3 linked regions of the Bombyx mori genome follow. The protein of the gene in region 1 interacts with the protein of each later gene in a biochemical or structural test. Links are inferred from orthologs where the notes say so. Each region holds a gene or a part of one and is shown on either strand. Other genes may lie near its edges. The genes, in order: DNA topoisomerase I, mitochondrial; ubiquitin-conjugating enzyme E2; serine/arginine-rich splicing factor 1A.

Evidence for each region.
Region 2: the proteins of DNA topoisomerase I, mitochondrial (region 1) and ubiquitin-conjugating enzyme E2 form a complex in vitro, tested with the Homo sapiens proteins (2 studies listed by BioGRID, with this or other methods). The link is inferred for Bombyx mori from reciprocal best matches to the Homo sapiens genes TOP1 and UBE2I.
Region 3: the proteins of DNA topoisomerase I, mitochondrial (region 1) and serine/arginine-rich splicing factor 1A form a complex in vitro, tested with the Homo sapiens proteins (2 studies listed by BioGRID, with this or other methods). The link is inferred for Bombyx mori from reciprocal best matches to the Homo sapiens genes TOP1 and SRSF1.

Annotation. Positions count from the first base shown.
Region 1 is NC_085110.1:12,999,194-13,003,535, forward strand, and holds the start of DNA topoisomerase I, mitochondrial, read right to left. Parts: upstream 2,874-4,342; 5' UTR 2,634-2,873; coding exon 2,592-2,633; intron 2,286-2,591; coding exon 2,125-2,285; intron 2,044-2,124; coding exon 1,627-2,043; intron 1,453-1,626; coding exon 1,362-1,452; intron 1,166-1,361; coding exon 1,004-1,165; intron 822-1,003; coding exon 728-821; intron 658-727; coding exon 483-657; intron 312-482; exon of another isoform or gene 65-311; coding exon of another isoform or gene 1-64. UniProt on the Homo sapiens protein: Releases the supercoiling and torsional tension of DNA introduced during the DNA replication and transcription by transiently cleaving and rejoining one strand of the DNA duplex.
Region 2 is NC_085114.1:7,031,745-7,035,225, reverse strand, and holds ubiquitin-conjugating enzyme E2, read right to left. Parts: upstream 2,216-3,481; 5' UTR 2,049-2,215; coding exon 1,983-2,048; intron 1,912-1,982; coding exon 1,828-1,911; intron 1,704-1,827; coding exon 1,441-1,703; intron 1,217-1,440; coding exon 1,150-1,216; 3' UTR 639-1,149; downstream 1-638. UniProt on the Homo sapiens protein: Accepts the ubiquitin-like proteins SUMO1, SUMO2, SUMO3, SUMO4 and SUMO1P1/SUMO5 from the UBLE1A-UBLE1B E1 complex and catalyzes their covalent attachment to other proteins with the help of an E3 ligase such as RANBP2, CBX4 and ZNF451.
Region 3 is NC_085122.1:429,772-434,005, forward strand, and holds the start of serine/arginine-rich splicing factor 1A, read right to left. Parts: upstream 2,930-4,234; 5' UTR 2,711-2,929; coding exon 2,532-2,710; intron 1,789-2,531; coding exon 1,425-1,788; intron 531-1,424; coding exon 454-530; intron 1-453. UniProt on the Homo sapiens protein: Plays a role in preventing exon skipping, ensuring the accuracy of splicing and regulating alternative splicing.

The sequences.
Region 1 (4,342 bases):
ACACAATAACACTCACAACTTTAAACATAATCCATAAAACCAATATAACCTCAAAAAAGAACATTCACAATTACATATCGAACTAAAAATGATTTGACGAATTTTATCCAGCTTAATTTGATCACTTATGTTTCGAATTATTTAAAATGTTTGAGGGGTAGCCTCTATCAACGTCAAATGCTATCAAGATGTTATGTGACAAATTATTTCTGACAATGCTTGAATTAGGTTGGATATGTCACGCCATCTATTGGTAGAAATTAGATATGAAGTGTCACTAAAGCAGTTACTTCACAGAGTTTAAGATTAAATATTTAATGTTAAAAAAGTTCTACTGAGCAATCTGAAGTCACAACAAATTAAAGTTTGCCTTGTGATATTATTGGTTTTAAAAGTAGACAAAACATTGGATAATTTGGCAATGTCAGACTATAAATAATCGTTTACAATATTTTAATGAGCAAAAAATAGCCTTTAATTACCATTTCCAGACTTGTTCTGTTTCTGTGTCTTGTTTTTTCTTCCGTTTATTGGGACTGATACCATCATCTATGGGCTCAGATTTCACCTTAACTGATTTAGTTTTTTCAGAACTCTTCTTTTTCTTTTTAGGTTTTTCATCTTCTTCATAATCATCATAATCTTCATAAGTCTCTTCTGTAAACATTTCCAAAAGGTTCAAAAAGCTGTTTATAATTAATTTCTAGAATAATGTTAAGACTTTTACCTTTTTTTACTTTTTTCTTAGATTTCTTTCTTTGTAGTAATGGAATGTCTTCTTCACCATCACTAACATGGCGTTTTTTAGCTTTTCGTGCAGTCTATAAAATAATATATTCATTTTATTAGATAACTATATATTTAGTAAAAATAAGAACTGTTACTGTATGATAAAAATAGGAAATAAGGACAAGGATGAGTAAAAAAATTAATATTATAATAAATTTGGGTATTAAGTTGGTAGTTATTAAGTATAAATGGATTATTCTTGAATTCAACTTACTAGTGGTATATCCTCTTCACTTTCATCATCTGGAGGCAGTTCAGAAAGTGGCTCATCTTTAAATTGGGACATAGAGTAGTCACAAGATGAGACAGTTGTGTTAGCTCCAGCATATCCTTCATCACTATCATCTTGTTCACGTTTTAAGACTGGTTGATCCACCTTAACAATAAAAAACTAAATTATTATTTTGGCCCTCATGGACAATGGCATCCAAATAAATAGACAACTACCAAAAAAACTCATTATGAGAATGGCAGTACTATAGGGTTTAGTGCATATTTGGAGAATGATTTTATATTTATGCTTTTCAGACAATGTTGGAATGCAATAAGAAAATAATAGCCCACATACACACCTCCATAGGTTCATCTTTTATGACATTCTGAGACTCAGATTTTATCTTTTCATTTCTTTCACTTGAACTTTTCTCCTTGTTCTTGCTGGAGCTGAAACCAAAATTGCAAAATACATTCAATTTGTAGTTTAAGATGCAGGTGCATTCATTACAAAAATTTTTAACCAAATGTTACTGACTTTTGACAACTATTGATGGTGTCAAATATATATGACTGGATACTGTCAGTTTTAAATTCTAATTAAAAATACTTGTCTATATATACCTGTTTTTATCTTTTGAACTGGAGTGCTTATCTTTGTCCCTATGGTGTTTATCCTTGTCACTCCTGTGTCGATCTTTATCTTTTTCATCTTTACTTTTAGATTTATGATCTTTATCCTTTGATGAGCTTTTGTGTTCTTTATCTCTGGATGATGATGATGATGATGTCTTTTTGCTATCTGAACTGCTTTTATTCTTGTCTTTTTCATCACGCCTATCTTTGTCACTTTTTGATTTTTCTCTATGTTTGTCCTTGTCACTGCGGTGTTTATCTTTGTCACTACGTTCTTTATCTCTGCTACTGTGATCTTTATCACTTCTGTCTCTCTTTTCACTGTTGTGTTCTTTATCTTTGCTGGAAGATTTATGGGAGCTGCTGTGCTCTTTACTGCTTGAGTGTTTGTCTTTGTCCTTGTCTCTTTAAATACAATACTTATAAAACTTACAATATTTCATAGTGAAAACGTTAATTTCATACAGAATATTCTAGAATGCTTACCTGCTAGAGCTGCTGTGCTTGGACGAGCCCTTGTGATCGCGATCTTTGTCGCGATGCTTGTCTTTGCTAGAAGATTTGTGGCTTGATTTGTGTTTGTCAGAGCTACTGTAGCCGTTATGCATGCCGTTCACGTGTTCATTTTTATTTCCATTTACCTTTCCCTGTGAAAGAGATCGAAATTTCTCTTAATTTTTAACATAACATTAACCCCAAATGTATATTTGTTCATATTTTAGAAAAGACGCTATGTGGCAGTTTGTGTTTTTTTTTCACATTTATTCTTGGCGTGTCAAACGACGCTACGTTCTTTCTGCTTGAACATTATAGTTGACGCCATATTGGGACTTAGAAAATTTTGCTTCGTGTTGTAATTTTCATCAGTAAGGACACGAAACCTTAAGCAATAGAAGCTTATTGAATACGTAGAACGATTAATATCATAATAACAAGTCTAAATAATAACTTACAGATTCACAATCATTATCGCTGGCCGGGTTTTCGACACTCATTTTGCCTACGTATCACAACGTTTGTTCGAATAAGATTACATGAGGCCGGCCGAAAACGAGCGCAAAATCTAAGTGTCCAGAAGTGACGAATGCGCATGCGTCGTTGCTCATACGATAAAAGGGAACTTCACTCCGCTTGGTTCAATGTTCTGGTTTGTACGAACTTCAAGTTGACAGTTCAGCTTTTTAAAAAACTGAAATGGCAATGGAATGTATGCCATCTAAGCCTTCATCTAAGATTCAATCTAAAGTATTTATACTTGGATACTTAGTCATTATACGAAATTCGTGTAACTTCCAGACGCAGAATATGTGTAATAATAGTATAGTAGGTTCTGCGTATGTAGAGAAACTATAATTACGGTACCGTGGGTAATGCTCACTTTAAAATTACTACGTCTATTTGTACATGCTTAAATGTCAATAATTGAAGATCTGCATGCATGCTATCGTAACTTTAAACCAATTCATAACTTTATAGAAGATTTCTGTAAACTTCACAAACCAAGATTGTCAATAAATATAAGATATAAGATTGTCGATAATTATTTATTGGATTGGAAGGAATTGGAGGAGGCCTATGCCAAAAGGCACACCGAACTTAGGGACCTCTTGTAACCCTATGTTTAGGAATAAAAAGGCTATTATTATTATTATTATTAATTATTTATTAACAATCTTGATTTTATGTAAACTATCAGCTTCTCGACACTAGTATTTTCTTCGGCTATCGCAAGTTTTCTCTTCTTGTTCGTTGTTCGCAAAGAACTTTGTATACAAAAAAAGACTCGTCGACTGCTCAGCTACGAATTCTCAAGTTCTTTGGGCACATCTCCAGAAAGGAGGACACCGTGGAGATACTTTTCGTAAATGGCCTTGTAGAAGGCAGAATACCTCGATGTCTACCCCCACGGGCTGCATTGTCGTCATCACCAGCACTACGAAAGCCACCGCTACGACAGCTACGACTACTCTGCCAAGAGTAGCCTAGCTGTGTTCGGGAGAATTTGTCAACACTAGCCCTACCAAGTGCAGTGCTTTGCAGAATCTACCACTCGATCAGAATCGCGACCCAATGAGAAGATCCGGCAAGAAACTCAGTGGACTGTTTCTATGGGTTAGTTCGCTCGTCGAACTCTTCGTCGTAACGACAGTAACCGGTGCTTGAGGGACCTAAAAGCACCGAGAGTGGATCCGGGGATCCGACAAGACACGTTTCGGGCTACGATGACTTTGCGTTGTCCTATCGCTTGGGTCGGATATACATATTTTGTATATCTAACTAGCGGCGGTCACGATAAGAGGGTTATCGTGTAGCGCTTTCTTGAGTCGTAGATATCATTAAACTACTTTTACGATTTAATTTCTATTATCATTTTATTCTTAACATTGTCTGTTTGACTTTTTTTACTATTTTTTTTTGTGGTAATTAGACTTATAATAAAATTGAATCTATTGGTGCTTACTGTACAGACTAGCTTGTGCAGTTTACCTATATGGAGCAATGTAATCATGCAATGTAATGCAAAAACATAGGGGCAATTCTCATTAATTATTTTTGTGCAGGAAGGATTACTGGTGGCCTTGAAGCCTTTTCAGTTTCACCACGACAAGTGGGCGAGTAAGCCAGAAGGGTTGGGATTTGCTAACAGCTACCTGAACGTCTCCAAAGGAGACCTAAAAACTCATGAGTAGCTGCTCCGCGATTG
Region 2 (3,481 bases), on another chromosome or scaffold:
GACCCACACTGTCTAGAAAACTGCATTTTAGTGCGCGGCGATATGTTGAGGGACCGTCGCATATTCGAAATTGCGGAAAAGGACTAATTGGTTGTTGATTTGAAAATGGGTTATTAAGTGTATAATCTATGGGGTGGGCGTCCCTTAAACTCGTATAACAAAATCAAGTCTTCGAACTCATATCTCTAAGTTAGTCCTGGCATTATTTGGCAAGTTCAATGGGTTCTAATAATAGAAAATACCATATTAAATAGTTTCAGTTATTACTTAAAACTAGTTGGGTCGTGATCGTATAGTTCGCCTGTCTCTCACCTTTTGTATTTTGAGGTGCCTATTCACTACTAGATGGAGGTTTTTGTAGCTAATTTTTAATTATATCTGTCATCAAACTAAATAATGATTGCGTTTAAGCTGGAATAAAACAAATATTTGTTTAACTCCCAACTTTAATGAATATCAGCATGTGAAATGAAATATCTGATGTCAACTAACCATTTTGATAAATAAATAAAGTTATGAATTATTTGTTTTCCAAATAGTTACTCTGAACGGCTGATTAGAAAGCGCTGACTTTGAATAGTGAATGATTGTGAAAATAATCTGAAAAAATTTTAACTTAAAAATACACAGTAAATTGTAGAATTTAAATATTTATTGTTCATTAAGTCTAACATAAGATACAAAAATATTTTAAAATAACATAGATTCGAAATGTAACCGTATATTTTGAGAATTACAGCAACATGTTTGTATATTCGGTTGTAATTAAAATCTTTGATGCTTTTTGCTTGTTAACATTTCTGTTATTAACTTAACAAATAAATAAATACAAGTTAGCCATAAAATGATGAATTCATAATGGCTTCAAAATTTTCCAGAATTAAAATAACTAACATTAGCATAGTGTTGATTTGGTCTGTTATTAAAAACTTGCATTTACTTCAAAATTACTTAAATCTATAGTTTAAACCATCACTGCGTACTGTGTGGATTAAATACTTTTGGAACTGGAAAATACCATGAAGATAATGTTATAGCACAATCTCCAAAATAGCGTAGTGTTGCTGTTTTAATCTCCTGTCTTCACATTTATACTGCTTTTTAGGCAATGGCTTAGCTCATTAACGCTCCATTGTCCCATTCTGATATTTACTCAGCAGCAGCCATTGCACGTGCCTGCGCTCTTACTCGCTTGTCATACTCTAGCCGATTTTGACTGTAACAATAAAATTTTATTTAATATTGAGGCATACAAGTTTTGTAGGTCACAGTAATTAAATATTAGTATCACAATATGTGGATAGTTTCGTGATATATTTTCAGTAATATAACAAATACATATATTACAAAAAAATTCAATTTTTACAAAATTAAACATTATAAAACATAACAGTTCTTTAAATGCAATACGGGTATTGAAAATGTTTATGTTTAACTTACCAATAAATTGTGTAGGCTTCAGCTTGCGCTGGATCTTTTACGTTAGGCTCATTGAGAAGATCTTGAATACCCAACAAAATTTGCTTTATTGTGATTGCTGGACGCCAATCTTTTTCTTCATCAAGCAGTGACAAGCACACCGTACCTGATGGATACACATTGGGGTGGAACAGTGGTGGTTCAAATTTGCATTTTGGAGGACTTGATGGATAATCATCTTTGAAGATCATACGTAGTTTATACAGCCCACCTTCCCATGGAGTCTAAAAAGAAAAACCGGTTATAGTTTTAGAACTTCTACTACCGTAATTTACTATGCTTAAACTCAATAACTTTAAAACTGCATCAATAAGAAACAAGAAGTTTTCACGATATAGAAATACTAACCCCCTTTTTACCAGGTATCGCACATTCCCAAGTCATTAAATTCAATGAACCATCTGGATTCTTCATAGGCCTCGCGACAAAACCCTGAAATAGATGAATAGCTTATTTATTTACGAAAACATAAATCAATGTGTTTTCAACAAACAAAAACTTACAAAGGGATGGTCCTTACGCCAAGCTTTCCGTTCTTCAGCTAAACGTGCACTTGCTATCCCTGACATTTTCTACAAAAATAACTCGATTTATGAGCCGAGCTTCAATCAAGGGCTATTCTTAATGTTGGGCGATAGATTTTACTTATAATCGAGCTAAAACTAGAACGAAATTACAATAAAAATAAATGAAAAAGCGCGAAATAGCGTCCCTTAATTTCAGAGCGGTCGACAAAATTGTAGTATAGACTACAGATAAAAAATGAAAATAATCGATTCACTTTTTTTTCTTTTCTGCTGTAGGAAGTTAATAGTGTTGCTGTTGACATTTAATATTAATTTAATTTTAGCAGTAAAAACGGGTCTTAATTACGACGATAGCCGAAATTCAGTCTAATTAAATGTTTCAAAAAAATTACACAAATATTTATGAGCTGTTTTTAAAATGCAATTAATCTCTCTTTTATCTTTTTTTGCAAATGAAGATACCACAATTAAAATTACTTTTGCGACTTAGGAATGACTCCGTGTTAACGAAAATTGTAAGACCAAAATAGGTATTGGACGAAATGGCTAAGGAAGCCGGACACAATGTAATGCGCCTTCCACCCTACTATTGTCAATGCAATGCCATAGAATCTATTTGGGCGCAAATTAAAGGTAAGGATTTAAATAAATGTATTTAATAATTTATTTTTACCTATTTTAATATTTTATCTGTTGCTATATTAACACGTAAACCTTTATTTTAGATTGCGGCTCGTAAAAATATCGACCCACTTAGGGCCGGATTTAGACTCCGCTCCTGGGCAAAAAATCCGCCCCAATACTGGAATTTTACCAAAAATTATAGTTTATAACTATTTTTTTCAAAATTAAATAAGTAATTTCTTGCAGAAACTTTATCATATGTTATATATTCCAAAAACATAAATAAATATTTGTTTTTTTTCTAACAATTATAAATTTTGCACTAAGGGTGACTCATAAATATTAAATGAAAAAAAAAATTAAATTTCTTTAAGTCCAGAAAATGGAAAAATCGATTATTATTTTAAATGTTCAAGGAAATAAATTGACTAAATAATTTTGATTATGAATTTTTACCTAAAGTGCCAAAATTATAATTCACAAATAATGGATGAATTCAATTTTTTGTATTATCAATTAAACAGAAAATGATTAATTAATAGAATTAATTTCAAAAATTTTACTTCCAAAATTTTGCCGCCCTAAAAAATTGCCGCACTGGGCACTTGCCCCGACTACGCGACTGCCCCTAGTGTAAATCCACCACTGAGCCCACCATTTACTGCAAACAAAATGCTGTCATTGTTGCAAAAAGCTTGTGATAGTGCTACTGCCGCGAATTAGGAAGGTTAGGTTTTACGAACAAAAAATTAGTTTTTCGCTGATTGGAACAGAGACACACATATCGATACCATCATAGATAACCAAATTATAATAAATACCTTGTGTTTTTATCGCCTGAATCCCACTCC
Region 3 (4,234 bases), on another chromosome or scaffold:
CCGCGCTTTAAAGTATTTGCCCACCCCTGCCTTAGAAGTAATTAACATCTTCTTAGCAAAGACAGTTTTAATAGTACTAAGTTATCCAACACAATTGTTAATGTCCAAAGGTGGGCTGAGATAACAAAATCGATATATATAAAAATGAATTGCTGTTTGTTAGTCTCGCTAAAACTCGAGAACGGTTGGACCGATTTGGCTAATTTTGGTCTTGAATTATTTGTGGAAGTCCAGACGTTTAAAAGGTAAAATAAAATTTTGTTTTTCCTTTGATGTGTCCCCCGTTGGACGGATTCCTTTTGTTTGTTTTAAGTTTATTTTATACAATAGTTAGGTCTTTTATTTATCGATTGAGGCACTACGAAGTCTGCCGGGTCAGCTAGTTTAATCAATATATTTGGCCAATTAAATGATATAGTAGTCAGTTAATGTAGTAATGGTATGTAGTGGTACCTGTCACCGCCGCCGCCACCACCGCCACCGCCGCCACCGCCATAGTCTTCCTTCACACGTATATATGTCACCTCACCCTGGAAATGAATATTTAATAGACGTCTAAATCTTGCACTACATGACACTGCTTGCTTTTTAAATTTCTTGAGTTGATTGTAAAACGCTTTTACAGTGTAATATAGCTTTCTTTTCATTCATTTTATAATCTTCATCATCTATGACCATAAGGTCTGTAATATCAAGATTAAGAAAGTATGGTTCAAATTTGATCCATGGTTCAAATTTCTTTTGTAATATCAATATGAAAGCAAACTCAGTTTACTTAAGCTGAGATGATGTTTTGTTGCCTCACATCTCATTTTACATTCCATTTGTTCTTTTCAATCTCATATCAGTTTTTCTCAAACTGAAATTACTTTACCATAATTGACAAGTGAATTGTTTTTTAAAAAAAATATTTAACTGTATGTTGAAAGGACAATCTCATTTTTTATAATTCAGTAAACAAATTGGTAACAAGTATGGGCAGAAAAAAACATTGAAAAAAAAAAAAAAAAAAACTGGTATTGCAAATAATCAGAAAAAGGAGACAGCTTAGTCCAACCTAGCTAAAGAATTCAAAAGTTTGTTTTGCTTACTTTATTTACTTGAGTTTTACAGAATGCAATTTTGGACATTATAGATATCTACTGAGTTTGACACAAAATAACAGTTGTTGATTTTGAGCAGCTATTTGTAAATGAACAGTTTAAGCACTATCCCATGGTTTAATTTCTCCTTCATGAGCCTTAAACTTCTAACTAATTCAAATTAAACTATAAAAGTATTTGACACAATTGATTATCTTGAAACTTTTATGTCCACGTTGGGTAACAATGATAAAAAATTTGGGACAATCCACCAACAGTACTGTTCTTTCACATTACAGGTTATGTTTATAATTATTTTCAAATAAAGTGGAAGAAACTAACCTCATGACTCCTAAATCTAGAATCATCTAACTTTTTAACAGCATACTTCATATCTTCATGCCTCAAAAATTCCACAACACCAGATCCATCTTTAAAGGTGTCTGCAAAGCATACGTCGCCGGCCTCTCGCATATGGTCTTTGAGGTCCTGCCAGGAACCCGAGGGCGGTAAGCCGGTAACGAGCACGCGGTATTCAGAGCGTCGAGCGGGCGGACCACGTGCTGCCCCTCGTCCACCCCAACGGTCACCACCGCCTCGAGAACCACGAGAGCCTCCACCTCCACCTCCACGAGGGAACTCGACTCGAAGACGGTACCCATCATAGTCGTAACCATCCCTGGCTCTTACTGCATCATCTGCATCTCTGAATTCCAAAATAGATTTTATTAAAATAACTTGTCTCAGATTAATTTAGGTAGATATGACTGTATATTCTACTAGGAGTGAAACAAGGCAGGCTCTGAGCTGTGCACCTGGTATTCTTGACGTTCATTAGTGACAGTAACAACTCACCATGAAGTGGACATATCTAATAAAAGAACCAATCACACACAGTTTTGACATCACTCATTGTGTAATTTTAATTTAATATGTTGTGTGTTTATATGTGTGTTATAATTTTATATAATTGGCAATAATCAGCAAATTTTATTGATTTTAATTTTTCTGAAATAATTAGAAATCATAGGTGAATATTATTAGATTTATGGATACAGGTGCTCTGGCAGACTATTAAATCTGTGCCACCCTTCATATATTTTAATATGTGCCAACTTTTAAACTAATTAGTTGTCAATTAATCATAAAATAATAAATGATTAATTGTTAATTTAAAGTCCCATTTTCATTTATCAGTAAAAATGTTTACTTAATCTGTATCTGTATCTGTGGTGTGGAAAATTATATTAACGCTGAATAAAATTGTTCATTTCGCTATAGTCGGGTACAGATAGCGGTGTATGCGGCATAACGTATGCGCTCTTTTAAATCTTCTTCAAAGGCAGCTGAACATTCCGTCCACCTGACACGGGATGATTATCGCTACTCAGACATGGACAACGTTAGTAATATAGATAGCCCGTTTCTCTTTTCGAATTCAACACTCACCTGGGATCCTCAAATTCCACGAACGCGAATGGCGGACCTTTTCTGTTCTTTAGGTCAACGAACGTTACTTTTCCGAACTTGTAAAACAAGTCTTGAATATCCTTTGTCCTTATGTCCGGTGGTAAGTTTCCAACATATATACGACACTCATTTCTGTTGCTACTGCTTCCACCCGACATTATAGCTAAAGAATATTACTATTGCTTAAACGTTTACTTATTATTATGTTGGCTTCATCGACTAATTTCACCAATCCGACGCTTTACTGTGTGTAATTGAAAGTCGGGCAATATGGCGTCAAATGTCAATGTTCCGATTTTGGATCACGGTGGATTTGACAGAAAAGAAAACGATAATCATGAAAACGGAAGTGGAAAAACCTGGTCATAGATTATAAATATGTGGCTGTATAATTTTTACAAAAGTCCGTGTGAAAGGATTTATACAAAGATGTGTATGTAGTCGTCCGGCACATTTTAAAACTAAACACCATAAAATTGAATAATTAATCTGAAATGTAGTTTGCTTTTGGTGATATCAGGATCAGGACACTTATCATTCTTTCCTGCTTGTCCGGAAGTTTCTGTGTCGAAATCAGTACCTATAGCGTGTTTTATAGGTCTTTCTAATTTCGAGCCCGCTGCCCTTCACTTTTGTTAAATGGAAATTAATATATAGGCTGATCAATATTGGCAGTTTCGAGTTATGTTAGTAACATTAAAGTATGGGTTTTCCCATATAAAATCAGGTAGGAACTTACTAGAGAACTTGTACTTGAACTTGTGCTTAAGGTGTCATCTTCTTGAATGGATTAAATAAAATAAAATAAAATAAATAATACAATAAGGCTATGCGTCATGATAATCGCCTTATTGGTGCCACCGTTGATTACTCCTCGAATTCTAATCATGCAGGAGCCAGTCACCGTTGATGCCCTAGACACGTCCTTACGGATCCATCAGATCCAATAACCTTTGCATTAGAAGCCTTCAGCTCTAACACTAGTAGCAGGCTCAGGGACCCCGGTAACCGTACTCATAGAACTCGACAAAGAGTTCGACGTGCAACCTAATCTATGTATCAGCCCGCTGAGTTTCTCGTCGGATCAGCTGTCAAAGCAGCTACTCTTGAGTTGATAAGTCTCCTTCGGAGGCGCTCGGGCAGCTGTTAAGTAATCCCACCCCTCCTGGCTGCGCTTTTGCTCACCTAACTGTCCTGGTGAAATTAGTGTAGGGGAAGCTTAACGACCGAGGGAAGATCTTCCATCGAGCTGGTGATATTGCTCGGTAGACCGACGGTCCGAATGCTGTTGTTCGGAACTTGTATATATGCGCTTTAACTTGAAAATGTCGTAAGCGAGATTCAGACATCTGTCAATTATCTTGCGTTGTATGATGGCTACCCGCCACATCACTCCCCTCCGAGACTGGAGGTCGTGTCATTTTTAGTTAGCGTTGTCCATGCTGAGATTAGCTTGCAAGGGCCAGTGCTGCTCGAAGCCTGCGGTGAGTCGAGGCTGAGCTTGAATTGCTGCGTGATTGTCGCTAGTGCTGCTCGTAGTCTGCGGTGAGTCGAGACTGAGCTTGAATGCTGCGTGATGAGGCAGTGTAGGTGCGTGCCGTAGGAGCAGGAAGCGCGGTGAGTCAGCTGCGATGGTCCTATCGAGGCTGCGATGCTGGCTTGCTGTGGGACTACTGTCGATG